3 linked regions of the Oreochromis niloticus genome follow. The protein of the gene in region 2 purifies or fractionates together with the protein of the main gene of each other region. This does not show direct contact. Links are inferred from orthologs where the notes say so. Each region holds a gene or a part of one and is shown on either strand. Other genes may lie near its edges. The genes, in order: wdr44, ras-related protein Rab-11A and evi5b.

Region 1 (6,972 bases), on a different chromosome or scaffold from region 2:
TATGATATTAATCAACACAGTCTTGGAGGTTATGTTATGTAATAATTCTTTGTTTACCTTTATATTAATTGCTTGTGTAACTGCCAGCTTATGATATAACAAATGGCTTTTCTAGATTGAAAGTAATGTCCACATCTTGTTACCACTCAAAATTTGTATACCGCTCTCCTATTTATGTCCCATTTCCTGCATGGAGTGAGGTCAGGTGATTGTCGTCTTTAACGTTTGCATCACCTTGCAATAACATTTATATTATTTTTGTTTTTCCTTGCAATTATTTGTGCATTTCATTGCAGTAACTTGTTTTCTCTGACAACCTGCTTTGCATTCCTGATGATCCATTTGAAAAGTTTGGTTGTTTGTTGGTCCAGATCAGGTCTTCAGTGACAAATGTGTCATACTACCAACATACAGTAGCATCAAACTCTTATCCTGGACAGCTATCAGCATCAGCTAACATGTAACTAACATCATAACAATGTTGGTTCAGAATCAAACTTGCAAATGACTAATCACATTGTCTGAGCATTCAGTTAGCATGAGGCAAGAAAAACGCCATCTTTAAAAACGCCATTAAAAACTATCACAAGAAAACCAACTAACCTAAATTTGGCAAACGTAACTTGATAACATATTTGTCATAATTCATAAAATAATAAGGAAAATATTTGAAATGCCTACAATTTCAGGATTTTTATATAAAGAAAGGCATTTTTTCTTTTTCCTCCGCATTCCAAAGCTATGACATGACAACAATGTGACTGCTCAGTTGCAATGTTCATCCTGGACAAACATTATTATAATGATGGAACAGGAGCAGGAACAACACCATCAGTACACACACACACACAAAACCGCTGTGAATAATCAATGTTGCACCACTAAAACTTGTCACAACCATAACTGTAAAAAACAAGTCTTGACAGCAACGATCTCTAACCCAACTCTGCAGTTATAAGTACATATACAGCTGAGGGTGTCCTGACTCTCACTGCTGTCACAACCAGCAGCAGTCTAGTATACCACATGACACCACATCATAAAACAGTAAAGCCTTTTACAATGGGTCAGATGAAATGCAAATTTTTTTGCGAGGTCATGAAAAAAAAACACGAAAAAAAAAGCAAAACATGCAAAGTAATGCAAATGTTACTGAGAGGTAACATAAAGGTAGTCGTCAAAAAACACATTACATTGCCATGAGCTTGGAGGGGACCTTGTACTGTTAGTACACGAAGGTGTTTAGGAACGGTATTGCTCATAGCCGTTTACACACAATCATCAAAGATATAGGAAAAAATCTGCACCTTTCATAGAGATAAACATGGATAAAGCAAGATTAATGAAGAAAGATATGATTTTCAGAATGTATGTATAGTATTTGGGGTTTCATTTGTATTACACACACATATGTTTATTAAACATAACTGGAAATGCATAGATATGTTTTTTACTGTAGTCACTCCTTCCCAAAGGTCATTCAGAGACAGGAAAACTATAGACAAGCTACAAACTAATAGTGTTTTATGTATATATGAATCTGAAAAAATCAAAAGTCACTATTTTTTGCCATATTACTTTGAACTATAGAGTAAGTAGTAATCATTCAAAGAGCAACTCAGCACAACCCGTGACACCTTGTTTCAACAGTGCCTAGATTTAGATAAACATACCTGAGGTGAAGGAATGACGAACTTTGCGGGAGACCTACGAAACACAAAACACATGGTTTAAAACTGATATAGGCTAAACTTATAAACCAGGGGGGGGAAAAACCAAATACAACACAAAAGTCTAACTTTTTATCATTTTATCTGTCACCTAAGCAGTTGAGACGATGTATCTGAGTTAGATAACTTTTACCTCATATAGAACTTTTGATCAGAAACAATATTAGAAGCAACAGACCAGATACTTTAAACATTTACAGGGTGGTTCAGTAACCTCTTCCTTTTAAGCGCCCACAAAATACATCTTTAAAATGTACATTACATTTTTAATCTCTAATCGAGCTGTCATACAGCGGATCATACAAAAATACTGCTTTGTAAGCTACTGCTACCTTCAGTCGGGTTTTTTTGTTATTCCAACAAGCTGTGTTTTGAATTAAAACTGTAAATTTGCATTGTGGTTTCAGCTTTCATAAGAAACCTGTTCGTTCAGTCCAAATCCTACTGTCATCATGTGACTTGTGAGCGTTTTGAGGTTTAGACTCTCCTGTACCTGCATTGATTAGCTGGTGAACACAAGCACTGTATGACAGAATATAATTAATATTCGGCATCTAAATACAAAACAGACTGGGTCGTGTTTTGCACACGGCACATGACTTGGCTTTGAAGCAGCTTGAGTTCATGCTTTTCATGAAAAAATGGCCATTTTGCAAATCTAACGTTAGCTGTCAATACTACGCTAGCTAGATACATATGAGACAAGACAAAAACAGGCAGGAACGCGTGTTCATTTACCACCGTTTTCAAAAGTAATATTGGCAAAAGGTTTTTTCTTACACTTGTGGAGACGGAGTAAAATTGGGGTCCTCTGGAGCATCATAGAATTCCTCCGTGTCACTTGTATCTGACGCCATGCTAACGACAATGTAGTTCGCTAGCTAGCCTAGTTTCCAGGCAGCTGTGTATAAGCCTAACCTGCCAATGACTGAAAGGTATTACATATGCGCTTGTAACGTCCTCTATGTTAACACTGATATTTCAATGCCCGAGCCCGGGAGTCGTCAAATAACAACTTTCCGGTCCAACATTACGCTAAAGCTAACAAATGTAATCCTGTCTTACGACTAAGCAGCACTTAATGCTAGCTAGTCCTGATCCTCTTTTAGATCTATCTTGCACAAAGCACCGTATCGAACGAGAAAAACGCCACAACCGAGTTTTTTGTTTTGCTTTTTCACAACATTATACGCTTGATAAGCTGTCAAGCTAACAGAACCAGAGAACCGCGTCATAAACAAACCAGCTACACAAAAAATACATCCTAACGAAGCAAGGGAGGGGCACAGGCGCCCTCTTGTTTCTTCTTCTTCTTCAATGGCGGTTGGAGAACAGCTTTTACGGCTACTACTGCCACCTTCTGGACTGGAATCTGGATGGAACAACTTGGTTGTTAAATCCTTTTTTTAAATCTTTTAACTCTCACTCATTTTACTTCACTATTGTGAGTTTTATAAAATTACTGTATACATTACAATACTCACTGAACAAGCAAGAGAATAACAGCCACTGATCAGGTGGAGTAGAGTGTATTAGTTGGTCTAGCAGCAAGGTCTAGTTTTTGGTTCCTAAATAATCCTCTCAGGATGATATGATCATGATTAGACACGTAATCAGATGAGCAACAGTTTGTTTAACCCATATTTAAGAAATTATTATTATTATTAGTGTATCTGGGAGATGACTCTCTGACAGACATTTTTGAATTATAGAGGTTGGTAGCATTTGGTCTGAGAGATTTCCTATATCTGTCCTTGTGGCAGTGGAGCTGAAACAGTCTGTTGGAAAAGGTGATCCGCTGCCTGTCAGTGATGCAGAGGGGGACAGGATTATCCATGATGGAGTTTAAAGTTTGCTCACTGACACCACAGCTTCACCACAGCTTCAAAAGTGACCAGTTTGCTGGCAATCGCAGAGTTAGCCTTTTCAATGATTCTGTTCATGTCACCAGCACTGATGCTGCTCCCAAAGCAGACCACAGGCAAGTACACTGGGCTTGCAACGCCTAATTGACAGAAAATCTCATCATTTTGCTTTTTCCTCACAGAACACGCCACACAATCATCCACTGGTGCTCTGTACTCCTCCTGCCTATCACTAATAAATTCACTGCCACTGCAGAACTGTCAGAGTATTTCTGTAGGTCGCATGCATTGAAAGTCTGTGGAGCTTCTGTGCTGCACATCACCAAATCAGACATAGCACTGACTAATCTCTGTCAGTAACCCATGAGATGGTATACATGTTTACTGACATTTCTTATCGCTTTTCTCTCAGCAGAGAGAAGAGCTGGATCATTTTAATTTGAGAAATCAAAGGAAGTGATCCTCTGCATGCAGCCATTTTTTTAGATGGGAGTTAGCTCTCTGCAGCATGTATATGGTTGCATCATCTACTGGCAGATTTGGTTTGTATGCAAACTGCATGTGAGTTGTCCACTAATGAGCAGTTTAGAGACTTGCTGACATTTGATTGTTTTAAGCAGACACAAAGACATAATAATAATATATTAATTATTAGTTAGAATAATATTAATTATATGTAAGGTCACCAGAAAACCGGCTAAATAAATGTGACCAGGCTACAGTGATGGAAATAACTATTTTGATCTTTTGATGAATTCACTTACAAAGAAATTAACAGTCTCCAAATTTGATGGTAGTTTTATTTTAACTGAGAGAGAAAGGATTTTAACCAAGAACCCAAAAAGAAAACATTACATAAAAATTATAAGATGATTTGCATATCATTCAGTGAAGTAAGTATTTGAGCCCCAATCAAAACATGATTTTGTACTTGTTGGAGAAACCTTTGTTAGCAAGCATGGCAGTAAGAAGTTTTTTTGTAGTTGGTCACCAGGTTTGTGCACATCTGACGAGGGATTTCGGCCCGCTCCTCTTTACAGAAACTTTTTTAGGTTTCTTGGCTGCAACTTGGAAACTCAAAGGTTCAGCTCCCTCCACTGATTTTCTACAGGACTGAGAGAGTTTGGAGAGTGGCTAAGCTACTCCATAATCTTAAAGTGCTTCTTTGTTGCCTTGGTTTTGGCTACTGTCATGCTGGAAAAGTCATCCATGACCCATCTTTAGTCTTCTGGCTGAGCAAACAAGGTTATTGTCCAAGATTTTATTGTACATGGCCCAACTCATTGGTCCCTCAATGTGGTGAAGTCGTCCTGTACCTTTAGCAGAAAAATAACCAAAAGCATAATGTTTTCACCTCTGTGCTTGAACGTAGGAATGGTGCTCTTTTGATCATACTCAGCATTTCTCAAACAATCATTTCCCCCACTCTATACACGGTTACTGATCAGTAATTAGTGCAGTGGTATTGTTAAGTATACTAGAAAGTGTAATTAAATTGTAGTGCTCAGTAAATCCATTGAAAAACTCATTTAAGTTACACGCTCATATGTTAGCCGCTCTATGCACCGCTCATTCTTTCTCACATGCTGCGACAGGCACAGTGAATGCAGTTCAAAACAGTCACCACAGACTGAACTTTTTTCATTTGCAATCAAAGCACTCTTTGTTCCAGATCAATGCATCAGCTGATTGATAATAAGACTACAATCTAATGGATTATTCAAGAGCATGAAAAGGTGGAGGTCGCAGAAAGGTGATTATTGGAGAATCTGAGTGCATTTTAGTGAATGCATACATTATTTTTGCGCATTTTGTCATTGTAGACTGTAGCTGTTCACTCAAATAACCACCCATTACAACCAAAGCATGCAGAAGAGGATCTCTGAGTCACAAGACAAAGTCACAAGACTCATCAAAGAGATTAAAGAGTTTTTTGTACTTTTTATAAAAAAAATAACAAACATATTTTACAGGTAGCCTGTCATTCAAAAAGACATTTTGTCTTTTAAAATTATTTACATACTGTGAGCAAATGTGGCTATTGTTTGTCTATTTGGTCATTTTCATTGCAGAATTGATCCATCTTTTACTTTTTTAAAAATGTATTGCTGTTATATTTTATTTAATTTTATTTAACATATTTATTTGTTTGTTTTTTAATTAATTTTACATGGTGTAAAAAAAAAGAATTCCTGACTTTTGGGATAAATAAGGTATGTGTTGTCTTATTTGTCAGAGTCCTTTAAATTTTTGCTGTTTAAGCTGGAATGCAATTGGGCAGCAGGAACACGTATCTCTGCTGTACCTGTGAAAAAACAAATCACTTCCATATTTCAACAACATTAGCCTCTCACATTAGCTCATCTGGAAATTTCCACTTGAGTTACCACAATATTCAAACTCTAAATTCAGACTTCTGCTTTTGTAAAAAACAAAAAAACAAAACATAAAATAAATAAACAAACAAATAAATAAATAACCAACCTAATTACCATACTTTCTGTGCGTCCGTCTCACTAATTTCCAACATGTGATACTTTTGATTATGAATATTGCTCACGAATGTTTTTAAATGGAAGCCTATGGTTCACCTCACAAAGTATTATCCAGGCATTTCAGTGTCCAGGTGCTTCAAATAAAAAAAGCTGTCTTAAAACCATTATTTAGTAACGGAAGTTTTAAGCCAATGAGAGAAGATTGCCATACTCTTCCGCCAATGGAAAGTGTGGATACTCCGGCTTTCCTAGTAAGCTACAACTGCATTGGATAAAACTAGGAAGGAGGCTTCAGGGGTATAAGTGGATTTGAGGGCTTGGAAGGAAAACAAGGACGCTAGGTAACGCTATATCGTTGTGGAAGGTATGGAATTTGCTTTTTAAAACTTTGCAGAGTATAGTTAAACTGCCTACATTAATGAAAATGCTATATATAGTATATTAAGCTCAACACATACCGGGTTGTCAGTTAGCCATAGGCATCTGTTGGTGGTGGCAGATCAACCAACCAACCAGACCAACTAATAACTAAACCAACTAACTTATATTAGGACCACAGTCCTTTGCGCCGTCACTGGTTAAGCTAATGTCGCTATGGGAAGAGTGCTTAAGAGAAACTTACGCGACAACCACAAAGTCGACTGTCGTGATTTGATGTTATTTTAAGCTAGCAAATGTTAACGTTAGGGTTAGCCTAGCTAGGTAGCATTAGCCTGTTCCCACCGGAGGTGTACCGACAGTATGGAGTCAAACATGGCCAGAAAATGAGCAAAGCTCCCATTTGGTTGCCTTGTCTGTTGAGTCTGAACAGCTGTCGCAGTCCGGCTAATGGAGACAGACGTGTTTAAAGATAGGACCATGAAGCCTTTGCTAGGAACAAAG
Region 2 (7,945 bases):
GGATATATAACCTCACACAATATTTAAATATGTCCAGTTTAAAACGCTGTAATGTGCAGCCGTCACCTTAGAAGTCAACAGCACTGAGAGTGCACTCAGTGTTAAAGTTAACTTGATATGTTTATTTTACTACTCTGTGCGTTAAATCACACAGTTAGCTATTTTCTTTAGAATTATCCATCTTATTTGCACAAATGATGCATTTTACTGTTGTATTTTATATGTTCTTCATAGCTTTTTAATCACTATTTTATCATCATCTGATAATATTTTGAGTAGCATAGGCAGCAAACTCGGGGATCCTTTTCTACCCAAAAGAATCATATAACCTACAAAACACCCATTTTTATGTGAGCATGCACAGATCCTGAAGCAGAAAGCCCGGTCTAACAGAAAGCTGATAATCAACTCTGTGATTCCCGTCATCTTCAATGAGGGGAAGGCATGAGGTCACCCGCCTCAAAACTTCAATGAGGTTTTGTTGAACAAGCAAAGGCAGAGAAAGCCTGTCTGTCTTGAACTATGTTAGTAGTATATCTGTCAGTAGTCATCATATCAAAGTATCATACTTTGATACTGCAATGAATACAGAAAAAACAACTCATAAAGCGTGGTAATAATTTTGTGACAGCTTCAACTGGGGACTCAAAAGCACACAACAGAATAAGGCAAATTTTATAAAAAAGGAATGTGTGAGACCAAAATGAGGAGAGTGCTGGGATCCCAAATATTTAAAGTGAATTTTGCCATATGTGAAAGTCTCATAGGTTGTTGGTTGTTCAAAAAAGCCACTAAATCTCTTAAAAACAAAAAAAAGAAAGAACTGTCCAGTTTGCCTATCACAGAAACTAGTGTGGGTACAAATATATAACTTAGCACAGAAAGTAAGGAAATTAGTGTTCGGTTGATTATTTCTTTGTTGGAAGAATGTTGCCTGGCAATAAATCTTAAACCATTAAAGAACCTGTTTATTTCCGCTTAAACGCTGCCTGATGGTGAAAGAAAAATAGAGTTGTGGGTTAAGTAGCAAAGGTGAGTATGTGGGTTACACCAATAAAAACTTGCCAAAACTTCCAATGCCAAACACATTCTGCTACTGACTCGTTTGTCATTTATTGGATTGGATGGGAAGTGTGAAGAAACAAGACACACCGGCAATTTCACAATTTATTCATTTAACAGGGACTTCAGTAGCATGTGGAAGAACCAAACACAGCCACGACAGCCTCATCTCCTCCTCATGCTTGGCCACACACTGCTGTGGGACTGCATCCTATTCTTCAACCAATATTTATTACAAAGCAGCCAGTGTGGTTGTGTTGGTTACTCTGGCAGGACAACCCCCCTTCATGCTGATGCTACAAGCATTCAGCTGGGTTGACATCAGGACTGCTGGCAGATCATTCCATGCTCTCCACACCTATATTCTGGATTTAATCTCTGATAAACTCCACTCTGTGTGGGTTAAGCGTCTTGGAGGACAGAGATTGTTCCCAGACTGTGGAGATATGGATTGCCACTGGTTACAGAAACTCATCTTGATATCTAGCTCCACTGAGATTACCTCCAGTGATGAGAAGCTTTGTTTTTTCCATTGAGAGATGCTGCTCTTCACCGTCACACTGCCTCCACCAAAAGCTTTCACCGTATCGGTGCATCAATCAGCACAGGGTTCTCCACATCCTCTCCATACTCTGACACTTGACACTATGAGCCAACTGCAGTAAGCACAATCTGGACTCGTTGCTGAACGTAACATTCCTGTACACATTCAGGGTTCAATTGCACCCGTTATTAACACAAATGAACCTAACAGTGAAGGGCAGTCACAGCAGGCCTCCTGACACACTTTGTGCAGTCTGTTCCAGGTTGTCTGGGTACAAAACCATAAGAAATATTGTCCTCCAAACTTTGATTGCAAATCTGTAGAAGACTGAGCACTGCACTGACAGTGTGTTTGTGATGTCGTCTTGTTGGGACACCCACTTCACAGCCTGTCTCTGATATCCACCCTCATATGGGACCTGGCCTTCAATTTGGAGATGGCACTAGGACTCATTCAAAATAATGCTGAAACTTAGTCTTGCACATCACCAGCTTGAGGTTGCCCTATGACATGGATCTCATCCAGATTAGTCAAACATGTTGACTGATCAGGTTCATGCCCTGCTAATCAGACATCAGATTGTCCATACCCGGCGTACCAGAAGCTCAAAACAAGAGTAGATAGTTGTTTGACATTGGCATAGTTCTTCATTTGTGCAACCCAAACATGCGATACCATTTAAGGAGAAATAGAAAGGCATTCCAACAGTACAAGACTTATTACCAAGAAGCATTGTTATGACACAAAAATAGTAAAGCAGACACAATCTTCCTGACTTTTTAAGCAAAGTTTATACATTCACAGTAATAAAAATACTTTAAAAATAATATAATGGCGAAAAGAATGATTTGGGTCATTGTTTAAAATTGTGGTCACGTGTTCATGAAGCAGCTCTTAACGCATTCTTTCCAATCCTCACACAAGTTTCTGTAGCTTGTCAAGCTGGACCTAAGATAACGTGATAACGGTTAACGCTAGGCGTGTCCGCGCCCACTATCAACAAGCTAACAGAAGCTAATAGCTAGTGTTCTTTTCTTTTCAGACGCCCCACTTAAATACACCGTACGTAAAGAAAATAGCACTTTAACGCCAACCCTCAAGTGAAGGCCGTTTAGAGGTATACACCCTTATATCAACTTCCCTACAATTTCCTGAAAGCTCGGTGAAAATCAACCACAGCACAAAGGTTGACGATGGCTTAGTTAGCCTGACAGCTGACCAGCTGGCCTGTTTAGCTTATCGGCTAAAGCTACGACACTAACGAGAAATTCACATCTTTACCTTTGAATAAATAATCGTATTCATCGTCTCTAGTGCCCATCGTCTTATTGAGACTGAATATTTAGTCCAAGATATGCTTCGTTTCAAAGCAAATACGGCAATCTGCAGTATTTTACTCTTCCAACGGGAATGTGTTTGGGAGCCGTACTTCCGTATTTTCTTCTTCTCCTTCGCTGCCGCAGAAAACCGGCATAATTCTGACATCAGACATCTAGTGGTCAAAAAATATACTTCCCAACTATCAACTTTTCCGTTAGGGCCGATTTATGGAAGTAAATACGATGCAAAATGCGAGAGCTTGTCAAATAAAAAGAGATAATGTGTAGAAAGAATTTGAACTTGTATTTTCACTTGCGTTTTAAATGTATGGTTACAGAGAAAATATAAATAAATGTGTAAATTAATGTTTGTAATTCAACTTTTACTCATTTATTTATTTATTTACTTTTTTAACTGCTTACAACTACACCTCTGTGGTTACAACCTCTCAAATCAGTGAATACAAGTGCTCAACTGCACCCTCAGAAGTCCCAAATTCATGAATTCTGCGCTTCAGGGGCAGCAGCAAAAACCACTTTAGCTAATAGTAAATGTGCTCGCTAACTAGCTATCCGGCATGGTCATGGGTGATTGCATTTAACATTTTACATATTTAAAATCTATCAACACCAATTTATAAATGCCCCTCCCCCAACCTTCTGTTTAATGCCAGGAGACATGAACCCTCCATCAAAAATGGTGTGCTTACTGTGGTCAGTGAAGATGAAGATTAAAGTTTGAAATTAAAAAAATATATAAAATTTAAATTTTATCATATTTAAAAAATGTTTAAATAACAAGCTAAAGTAATGGAAATATGCTTGTTTATTATTCAGCAGAAAAGTGTCCAGCTGACATATTTTTTGGTATTTTTTTTGTATTTGAAAATAAATGTTGTGCTGATTTAACTGCATTTGTATTGAGTGTTTTTAATTAATATTTTTAAATCATATTTACATGGAGTATTTATATCGATTAAGTAATCCTTTCTGTTTTGGTTAGTCTAGCTTTCCCAGTGTCTTTATTTCTGTTCCACATTTGTTACTGCCCATTTTAGTTTGTAGAGCTAGATGTCTCCTCTGTTTTGCATTTAGTTTTGCTTCCTTGTCTCATTTTTAACTATGTTTTAGGTGTATCTTGTCACCCTCCTGCGTCCATTTCACTTGAGTCCATTGTGTAGAACTTGTAATTCAGGCTGAGGGGACAGTTACCTGTACAGCACTGCTACAGTCAACATGAGGAAGGGCATCAAACAGGCCAAGGAGGTTTACAGGAGGAGGATAGAGGGCTTCCTAACTGATAACAACCTCCACCAGGTGTGGAGAGGCATCCAAGCCCTCACCAACTACAAATGTGCTGACCAACTGGGGGGATCCTCACCAGGCTCTTCAACCTCTCCCTGACTCATGCCACTGTTCCCACCTGTCTGAAGGCCTCCACTACCGTTCTCATCCCCAAAATGTCTGGTATACACAGGCTCAATGACTACAGACCGATAGCCCTACCGTCTGTAGTCATGAAGTGCTTCGAGCGGATAGTGTCGAGCAGATAGTGTCTCACCACATCAGGGACTGTCTACCCTCATCCCTTGACCCATCTGTAGAGCGCTGACCCATCTTGAGAACAGGAAGAGCTACATAAGGATGCTCTTCATGGACTACAGCTCAGAATTCAGCACTATAATCTCAGACATCCTGAATCCAAATTGGACCACCTCCACATCCCCCCTGCCACCTGCTCCTCGATCAAAGAGTTCCTCACAGGACTACGCTCTCAGCGCCTACTGTGTGCCCTATACATCTATGACTGTACCCCAAGCCACCCAACCAACATCTCCGTCCACCCCCCTGGACCCACAACACCAACGTAAAGAAGGCCCAGCACTGGCTGTACTTCCTCCGTGTCTTGAGAAAGAATAACCTAGAAGCTGCTTTCTGCCTTCTACTGCTCCTCAGTGAAGATTGTGTTCTCCTGCTGCCTTGGTGTTTGGTACACGCTACTGAGAACAGCAATGCTGCGCATAGGGTAGCTAACAATGCCCCAACAAATCATTGGCTGCCCCTGCGTTCCTGGAAGCAATCACAGGTGACTCCTTGCACCCCACCCACCACATATTTGACCTGCTGCCCTCTGGTTGGTCAATCAGGTCCCACACCTCCAGAAGCACAAACAGCTTCTTCTCCTGGGCTATTCGGACAGTCAACAAACACTATCCCCCCCACACCCAACCCCTGCCCACCCACCTCACTGATCTGAGCCATGGTCTGAATGACATCCGTCACTCAGGACACTCACACACGGACTCCATTCAACTCTTTGCACTGCTTTAAGCACTTTGCAACTATTTTGTCCTCTGATTTTTGTATATATCTATCTTGTTTGCTATTTATTCCTGCTGACACCTATTTATATTTTATTTTAGCACAGTTGGTGTGGAGCACTCACAATTTTGTTGTACATGTACAATGAGAATAGAGCCCTATTCTGTTCTAAACATTTAAGCTCTGCCTTTTTGTTGTTGTTGTTGTTGCCCAGCGTCTGTTGTCATTCCTGTATATTCCTGCTCATTTCTGAGTGGATTTAATTACCCTTTTCTCTTCAGGGACCTTGAGAGTCTGAGATTATGTTAATTTTCTTTCTGAAACAGAAAACGAGGAGTTTCTTTCAACTCAGGGTTAACAAACTCAGATGTTCCTGGAATAGTGCCCAGGATGTATCAACATGCAGTTTGAAGGAGATCCACTTGTGAGGGTGTTGTTAGATACTTTGCCATGTATTCCAACTCAACAGTGGGTTAGAGAAACCTCACATCTGACTAACAAGAAAGCAAAGAGAACAAGAAAACACGTATGACATGTTCTCCAACTTATCCCATATCATCTCAGTTGAGTTCAGGTTGCCGTGATCAGATATAGCAGCCCATGACACTGCTTCTTGGTTATCATGTCGGATCTTCCAGTCAAAGCCTGTAATTGTGTCATTTGGTAAGAAGATGCTGAACAGACAGTCTCCCCATGCATCTATTAGCATGTAAATATGTGAGCTACTTATTCAGCTCTGTGGCTTGTTGGTCGCTAAGCATGCTGCATGACCATGACAAAAACAGATATGGCGACGTCTTTAAAATGCCAAATAGCATTTTTCCCTTTTTGGACTTGTCCTCAGACTCCCTGCCAAGACTTTAGAGAGCAGTTTTTTAGTGCTCTACACCATTTGAAAGGCGCTCCTCTCTAAACACCACAGGAGAACTTGATACAGACTTGAATTTGACAGTTTAATCAAACTACACAAATAATAATCAACAAAAAACAGGTTTCAGTGATCCACTGTAGAAAGATGTGAACTTTTATAACTACAGTGGAAAAAACCCATTCAATTCAGTTTTATTTTCTTCATATAGCACAATATTACAGTGATGACTGTCAAAAAGCAATTTATATTACACAGTGAAAGACCCAACATTAACCTATGAGCAAGCACTTGAAGCAGGTTAGAGAAAACTCACATCTGCCACAACTTTTTGAACTGATGAGAAAGAGAAAAATCAAAGTTATGACAAACAACAAATAAAATATGGAAAATATGGATATTATCAGTAATATATGAGATGAATGGTCATCTTACAAATTAAATAATTAGTAACTGGCATAAATCTAATTCCAGACAGCACAAAAAATGACCAAGAGATCAGTTCAGTGATTCCAACAAGTGAATGTAAGACAGAGTGTTAATCGGCTGCATTTTTCAGTATCATGGTGCCTGTAAACCATTTACATAAAAAACAATAATTAAAGATAGTTAAAGAATTGAGACCTGCAGATAGCTAGTAGCTATAGCTACCTGTGTTAGCACACTTTATTATTTATTTTTTACTGACTAACTAACTTCTTTTTAAAATCACCCACTGTAGGATTTGGAGTTTTGTTGATTTTGCACTGGCTTCACTTTTTACCCTGCTGTTTGTCAGTTTACTTTACCTAAAACCACAATCTTTTCCCTAAACCTATTATTGCTGGTGTGAGTGGGTCAAGACACTGATGCCAAAGGACACGTAGAAAAATAACAACAGGAGCATTTCTAAGCTCTTCAAAGTACTGGGTGTACTTAGGTATGGTTGTCTCATCTCGTACTGCAGCACAGTTGCCCTTAATGATCCAGGGCCGAGTACGTATCAGTTTGTTTCAGCATCTTGGCTCCTTTCTTGGAGCGGATACACTTTTGAAAAATGTTGTCTCTTCATTGGTTAGGAAGTGGCATACTGTTTTCACATATTTGTTATTTAAACTCAGATAGCCAAGTTTACTATGTCAATATGTCTATTTACTCTGGAGAAGGCTGTAAAACTGAGAAATCTGTCCAAGATGGGTGGATCTATCAGTAGAGCTCACTTCTATCCGATCACAATACTGAATTGAGTTGCTCAGGATATCCTGAATCTTTCTGTCAGTAAGCACTGCCGTTTTGTTGCTGTTAGCTGGCATTCATAAAACTTTGATCTAACATTGTTTGACTCCGACACCTAGAAAATTAATCCTGACATGATGTGACTAGTGATGTGGTTAGCCCATAACCAGCAGCCTCATTGTCAGTTGGTCTTTACTTTACTTTATTGATTTAAATAGCACTCTACACAGGATAAAAACCACAAAGTGCTTCACAATAATGGTCGGAGACAAAGGAGACCACTTGTCTAATCTGCTGACAATAACTCATTGTAATAAATTGTGAGTAAATAAGAATATTTATAAACGTTTTTGTGTGTTACAGCCCTGAGTTTGGTTTAAGAGATCAGGTTTGATTTGAGGATGAAGATTCAAAGGATCTGATGATGTGAGTTAAAACAGGGCTAAGATCAAGACCTAACGTAATGATTTCAAACCTTTTGCCCATTTGAATCCATGGCAGCAGTGCTGAGATTCTTGTCAACAATAAAATGCAAGTATTTAACAGAAGGTGCTACAGATGAGACTTTGTTCATATCCAAGGACCCAACCTCAGGCAAAACCAATCCATTTTGAA
Region 3 (7,090 bases), on a different chromosome or scaffold from region 2:
ACTCTTAGCTAAATGTAAAGCTTGAAGTTTCAGTCAAGAAGATATTTACAGTCACTCGGCTTTCGTGTTCCCATTTCTAGGAGGGGAATTACATCAAATTTGTCTGGCTGAGCATCAGAGACTCTAGTCTCAGAGGAAAAAAAATGTCCATGTGCTTTGTGAGGGTGTTAAAACGCAGGCCTGACTTATAATAACACACACAGACACACACTCTGAGGTGGGAAGGCCTTTGACTTCACACACACAAGTGCAGATTTTCCCAGTGTAGCATCGGAATTTCAATGGTCTTGCTGAAGGCTATTCTTCAGCGTGCACCCACATAATGAGAGCTACATTTGGCCCACAAAAATCTAGCATTACAGTAGTGTGGGAAATCATATGTGCTGGCAGCAGCTTATTTTATATAATACCAGTACTTAAATTTCAGCCATGGATGGTTTATTCACTGGGAGAAACAGCTACAGCCAATCTAAAACATTAACTATAAGGCCTTTTTGTCTTGCTTTTTTATATAAATATACACTAAATATAATATAAATATAAGTTGAATCCGCCTGATCATACTTATTAAATAAATGAGGGTAACATAAACACGTTAGTGAAATTGTGGGGAAGAAGAAAAAAACTCACAAGGGGGAAAATGGTGGCTGGGGGGATCAAAACACTGAAACTACACTGAAGTGACAGCATTACTGATTTGTGGCTTTTAGGATTTTCTTTCTATGCTACACAAATAATGTAATGCATTACTGGTGATTGTATTTGTAGGTATTATCTTTGCTTTGATGCACCACAGGGTTGAAATCACAGGCTAAACTGGATGCATTCAGTTAGGTACTGCAGTTATAATATTTCTCACAGGCCACATGCTAATATAAACAGACCTGACACATTGTTTACAGTAATAATTACAGCTTGGCTTTTCGTCTCATGACAAGTTAAATGTTACTTCTTGTTTTCAGTACTAGTTGTTGGCAATAAGTTCTCTGAGGGAGAAAACCACTGTTATTCTGTGTAAAATGACCAAAAATAGATTCAAATGTACTTTTTTCTTGTTCAGCCAAAGACACATACATAGAGTGTAGGTGGCGAGTACATAACACGATCATCCTCTGCTTCGCTTAGTCACACACGATTTATTGTAACTCCTTGATCCATGTTCTCCAAAGACTCTTAAATACGGGGGTCACAGGAAAGTTCTTGAAGCTTCATGTCCCCTGGGTTCACGGATTTGACTCACTGACATACAAAAAGTGTGAGAAGTTGTTATGTGTTTGTTGGGAATTTGGCAATTGACACCACATGAACCAAAGTTGTTCATCGATGCACTGTGGCTCAAGCTACAACAAAAAAATAAATGCTAATCTGAGGTAAATGTGTATTGAAACTGATTATTTCAGTGAAATGATGAGCTAAGTACAGGTAGAGGAAACGATAATTATCACGATGATAAATAACACTGATACTGGCATATTGGCAAATAAAATGACATTGATAGCTGATATTTATCCTTTGTGTCACATCAATTTCCACCTGGCCAAATGATCATAGTGATATTAGCAACTTTTCTCTTCTCTCTCACATAGTTTGTTTGTCATCTCTCTTCTCCTTCTCTGAACAGTTAAGGTAGATAGCCCTTCCTCACTAAGCCTGGATCTGCTGGTAAATTCTTCCTGTTGACAGAGAGTTCTTCCTCCCCGCCATTTTCAAGTGCTGCTCATAGGACATCTCTGATCGTAGCGGTTCTCACTCTAATATTGCATGGTCTTCCCGTCACCAAATGTAGAGCCCTGAGATGACTTTTGTGAATTGGCAGATTCTATATTAAACTAAAAAAAAAAAAAAAAATCTGTATAAGCCCCATGTTACACAGTCTGTGCATCCCTCAATATAATGCACTGTTTTAGGTCATTAGTCTGGCAATATTATACATTTAGATCAGTTTAAATTCCTTTAGGAATTTAAAGTACGAATGAAATACACTTTAATTCGGTCTGGTGAAGTTTCTTCCTGTTATAATAACTTCTGGTGGGTTAAAAGTCCGCTTGATCTCTACTCTGAGAGCTGTTGCAACTTGCAAGTCACTTCTTTGCAGCTGGACTGACGCATATGCTTGGCTGCAACACAGCCAACACTACTGCTGAGCAGTTTAAATCCTTTGCTTAGTCTACTGACACACACATAATATTGTTCACCTATCAAAAACACGTTAGGGGACGGGGGAAGCTGAGTACAGATGCATTAGACGCCGAACTCCCGATTCCTTTTATGGCTTGCTGATGTTGTGAAATGACGAAATGGAGATCTAGCATCAAATGCAACAGTATGCACACTCTGTCTTCCAGAAGGCTCTAAAGTCGACGCGTCGGACAACACTACAGGAGGTTACATGTTGAATAAATGCGACTTTAACAGACACTACTCTGCAAGAATAAATACACTGCTTATTAAAGGATGAAGTGTTTTCTAGGTTTTGTTTTTTTGTTCCAGGCGATAGCCCGAGTCCTTTATAAAGTAGTTTGGAGATCAACAGCAAACATTTAACACAAGCAACAGCGCCAACAAGCCGTGATACACGCTAATACTAAACCGCAGTTTTTGAGTTAAGTAAAGATAATCTGCTTTACTTTAAAGTAATGTCACACTGTTCACGTTAACAGTCACGGGTGAGAACTAAGATTTTACGACTTACTGATCGTTCCAGTATTTAGACATAGCCCGAAAATAGCAAGAACATCATTTACCTTGAACCGTTTTTAGCCACCCGCAGCAGACGTCGCCTGCTTCCCATGCACGAAAGTGTGCTAGTCCTGATACTATGAGAAAACGACAGGTTTTCACACGGTTCACCCAAGTACATATGTTACCCAAGATAGCCTAGATCGGTTTCCACTTGAAAGCTAGCCAGCGTTAAGTTAGCTCGTTCCCATTGACTCTTGGGTCCAGCCCATGCAGCCGTAATACGTGTACACAAATGTCTGCGGAGCTGAGACAGACGGCGGCCTACCGGAGTGTTTACATCCCACAGAGCATGCCCGATTTGGGACAATACTGACACCAAGCGTTCAAATTGCGCAACTGCACCTCCAATACGTCATTTCTTTCATTCGTTGTTAAGGGAAAATCAATGTACTTGTTATAGAAAAGATTGGAATTAAGTTAAGTTTTCTTCCCTATGCTCTTCCTTGTGAATAGCTTTAAGATCATCAGCTAGATTGATGATGACAGATGATTTAGCTGTGCTTCTGACTGTACCTGAGGACGTCATTACTTTTGCTCTTTATGATTACTCTCCGCGGCAACACAAACTGTACAAACACAACTAAAGTGACACCTTAAACCTGCTTGCCAGGACAGGTTTTTCACATTATGTTAAATATCTTGTTCAAAAGCTGGTTAGTGAATTAATTAAGTTTCATTAACAATTTTAATAAACTAAGAGTGAGAGAGAGTGAGTGAGAAGTTGTAACCTGTTTAAAAAATATATATGGATAAGACATTTTAAGAAACAAAATACGTAAAGAATCCTGTTATCAAAGACAGAAGCAGATACATATGAAATATCTTTGAAAGGAATCAAAATTATAAGCCTGTATTAGGTTTGTCCAAGTACTTTTCAAATAATTATGCCTTTTTTCATTATTTAAATTTAGCTCCAAAGTGTCATAACACGCTACAGAATACACAAAGCATTCAGGGAACAGGATATAAAAAAGCGAACCATTCACACCATTCAAATTAGGCTTATTTGTCTTTTTGCCAACGATACGACAGATATCACCTCATGTCATGACTGTTTTTCAACAGCTCTAATTTGCAACCAGTGTGTCCATACAATGTAAAATCTTCAAGTCAAAGAAAAGAGCTCCACACAAATGTTTTAATGCTTACCTAATCTTCTTACCTGAAATTCATTGCTGAGAGAAAAATACCTGTGTTAGATGAAACCTGGAGGTACAAACACTTTGGTCTTTATAAATTTCAGTTAAGGAATCTTATCTTCATTGAAAAAGCAGAAAAACACCATAAACAAGTCCAGAAAAAACTCTGGTGTAAACCTTCAAAAACTACTTTAACGTATCAGGAAATATTAATTTGAAAAATATCTATAATATGACACCTCAATCAAAGTGCCTTCAGTAGCTATATGTAGCTCATAATGCAGCAATCACTTGCTCCGGTAAAAATATGACTCGACTGACTACCTAGAATCACATACCACGCACTCATGAAACCTACTTTTCAGGTTTCACATGAGAGCAGTGACGCATTTCTTTTGTTGACAAGCCGGACACTCCTTCCTCCATGACAGTGTCTGAAAAGCAACTCGAACTGTAGTTGACACTTGGCAACACCACAGTGAATGTAGGCTTCTAACTCTGAGACACTGTCAACAATCACATCTCAGCCCGTCAACCATAAATATTTACATACTTCTGGCTGCACACCCAAATTGTAACGCACATTATTGAGGTAGATTATGACGAAACAGTTGAGTCACAGAGACCTTAAAATAGATGAGAAAGTTGCCTGGCTTTTTATAAATAGATCTTTATAATGTTTTGTGCTAATATTGGCTGAGCCAGCAAAGAGACAAATTATTGTGAAGAAGGAGCGTCATCAAACTGTGACTCTGCTTGTGTTGTTTGCAGTCACACACTCCTAACTGATGTCTACAGTTATCGCTCAATTATTGATGCAGACATGATTAACATCCATACTACTGTACTATCTTGATTTGTACCACACCTCAAAGTGCACTGTCAAAGATCAGGACATGGAAAATGTATTTTTATGTTAAACGGTGGATTCCCGTAATTGCAGAGAAAATAAAAAATTCCAATTAATTCAGTTGCATTTATATAGCACCGCAGCATAAGACCAGTGTCCTCAATGCAGTCTATGACTCAGTTTCTGCTTTGGAACCACAAATGTGCCTGCACTCAGAGAGAGATCTACTCTAATGGGATGCAATGAGGTCTTTATTTTCTATTTTATATGCTCACCCACAACTTTATTAGTAACACATCATCAACTGCTCATTAATGAAAAGCGAGCATCACAATAGGAAAGAAAAGTTATTTAAGTGACTTTGAACATGGCATATTTGTGGGTGCCAGATAGACTGGTCTGAGTATTTCAGAAACTGCCGATCTACTGGGATTATCTAAGGTTTACAGATAATGGTCTGGAAAAAAAAAAAATCCAGTGAGTGGCAGTTCTCTGGTAAAAAATGCTTTGTTGATGCCAGAGGTCAGAAGAGAATGGCCAGACTGCTTTGAGCTGACAGGAAGGCAACAATAACTGAAATGACGACTTGTTACAACCAAAGTATTCAGAAGAGCATCTCTAAACCTTGCAGCAGAGGAGCTACAGCAGCAGAAGACCACACCAGGTGCTACTCCTGTCAGCTACGAACAGGATACTGAGGCTACGGTCAGCATGGGCTTACCAAAACTGGAGAACAGATGACTGGGAAATTGTTGTCTGGTCTGTAGAAGTGGACTCGTGTACTGGTGTCCAGTTGATACTACTGTGATGAAATCGATATGTTGTTTCTACCCTCTGAGTTCAGTATGTAGCCCAGTGAATTATGTTAAATAAATTATTTTCTTTGGAAACAAAAAATATAGCTCAATGGCACTATGAAATCTGTCTGAACCTTTTGTGTTGACTGTCACATCTATTTTATTTATAGTTGATAATGCTATAAATAAATATAGTACTTTAAAGACAGACACATTTACATTCCACGTCTTCAAAAAACCCAGTTTCCAAATACATGAAAAGCTGAAAAGTGTGTTTTATTGTGTTAACTAATTAATGTGGAAAATAAAAATCATGCTTTTATTAGTTAAAGGTATGGTATCGGCAACACTGACCCTCTATTTACTTGATATCTGATTGATACCAAATCAATCAGTGCAGCATCTCACAGTGCTATTGATCTGATCAGCATTGATTTCAGCTGCGACATAAATTGGGTGCAAACATCATGAAAAAAGGATCCATCATGACTTGTATCAATGGCTCAGTCAGGTTACAGTGCTGTAAAGATAAAGGTAAAGATTCCTTTATTTTTGCAACAGCCATGTTGTGGGTGTTATTGTATACTGTGCCATGTTTATGCTGGTGTTTGTGTGAAAATTGTACTGAATATTAACAGGTAGGGGGTGGTGAGTGAGGCTCACTATGTCCAATCACTGGCCTTATTGTTCAATGTTCTGATGGCTTAGGGAAAAAAAGGTGACTTTAAACACCTATACCTCCTACCAGAGGGCATGAGGTTGAACAGGAGCTGTCCAGGGTGGGACAGCATTGCCCTCCTGAGACACCAAGTGCTGGCCATGTCTGGAAGCATGAAAAATGTGAAAAGTATTGGTCCTGGTACAGAACCTAGTGCCACTCTATATCTTACTATTTTGTCTGTGTGAGTTTCCCTGTCTACATCAATAAATCACGAACTAACAGATATGCTATAATATAAAACACCACTTACTGTTTTTAGGTGCATCTGTGAACTGAAAACTGACACTAAGTTTCAACAGTGTGTTTCCTGTCTGGGAACATTACTGAGACACTCCACTTTCACTTTATTTGCAACAGGTTGAAAAAGGGGTCACGTTTGTGTCTGTGGATTATTCTGACTAACCAGTCATAACTGTTTCTTTACATATATTAAAAAATGAATCGCTTGTCCAAATTGGATTCTTCACACTTGTACAGAAGGTAAAACAAGAGCTAAGTGGTTTGTAGTAAATATACTATATGTATATATATTATAGAATGAGTTCTGGGGTTTTCAAAGGTATCACTGATAAGCTGATAACGTTTTTGTTTTGTTCTGGAAGCAGACCTGTAGTCCGCAGGGGAAAGAGTTAAAGTTCTAAAGCTCCTTCAACCTAAATATGAGCTTTATATTTAAGTCTGCTACTGTAGACTCAACACAATAAAAATGTATTTTTAGTTTTCTTTTTTAGCGTGTAACAACAACACCAAACTAAATTATATTGTAGTTAATTAAACCTTAGGAACCGAATTATGTCCTGCTGAAGATGGAGAAATAATATAAGAGAAAATGCATTTATAG

The links.
Region 1: the proteins of ras-related protein Rab-11A (region 2) and wdr44 purify together in Homo sapiens (affinity purification with mass spectrometry; 3 studies listed by BioGRID and IntAct, counting the BioPlex papers as one, with this or other methods). This does not show direct contact. The link is inferred for Oreochromis niloticus from reciprocal best matches to the Homo sapiens genes RAB11A and WDR44.
Region 3: the proteins of ras-related protein Rab-11A (region 2) and evi5b purify together in Homo sapiens (co-immunoprecipitation; 3 studies listed by BioGRID and IntAct, with this or other methods). This does not show direct contact. The link is inferred for Oreochromis niloticus from reciprocal best matches to the Homo sapiens genes RAB11A and EVI5.

The regions. Positions count from the first base shown.
Region 1 is NC_031975.2:12,131,603-12,138,574, reverse strand, and holds the start of wdr44 (WD repeat-containing protein 44), read right to left. Parts: upstream 3,052-6,972; 5' UTR 2,588-3,051; coding exon 2,511-2,587; intron 1,708-2,510; coding exon 1,674-1,707; intron 1-1,673. UniProt on the Homo sapiens protein: Downstream effector for Rab11 which regulates Rab11 intracellular membrane trafficking functions such as endocytic recycling, intracellular ciliogenesis and protein export.
Region 2 is NC_031965.2:5,551,764-5,559,708, reverse strand, and holds the start of ras-related protein Rab-11A, read right to left. Parts: upstream 3,077-7,945; 5' UTR 2,928-3,076; coding exon 2,888-2,927; intron 1-2,887. UniProt on the Homo sapiens protein: The small GTPases Rab are key regulators of intracellular membrane trafficking, from the formation of transport vesicles to their fusion with membranes.
Region 3 is NC_031986.2:31,245,976-31,253,065, reverse strand, and holds the start of evi5b (EVI5-like protein), read right to left. Parts: upstream 3,017-7,090; 5' UTR 2,745-3,016; intron 1-2,744. UniProt on the Homo sapiens protein: Functions as a regulator of cell cycle progression by stabilizing the FBXO5 protein and promoting cyclin-A accumulation during interphase. May play a role in cytokinesis.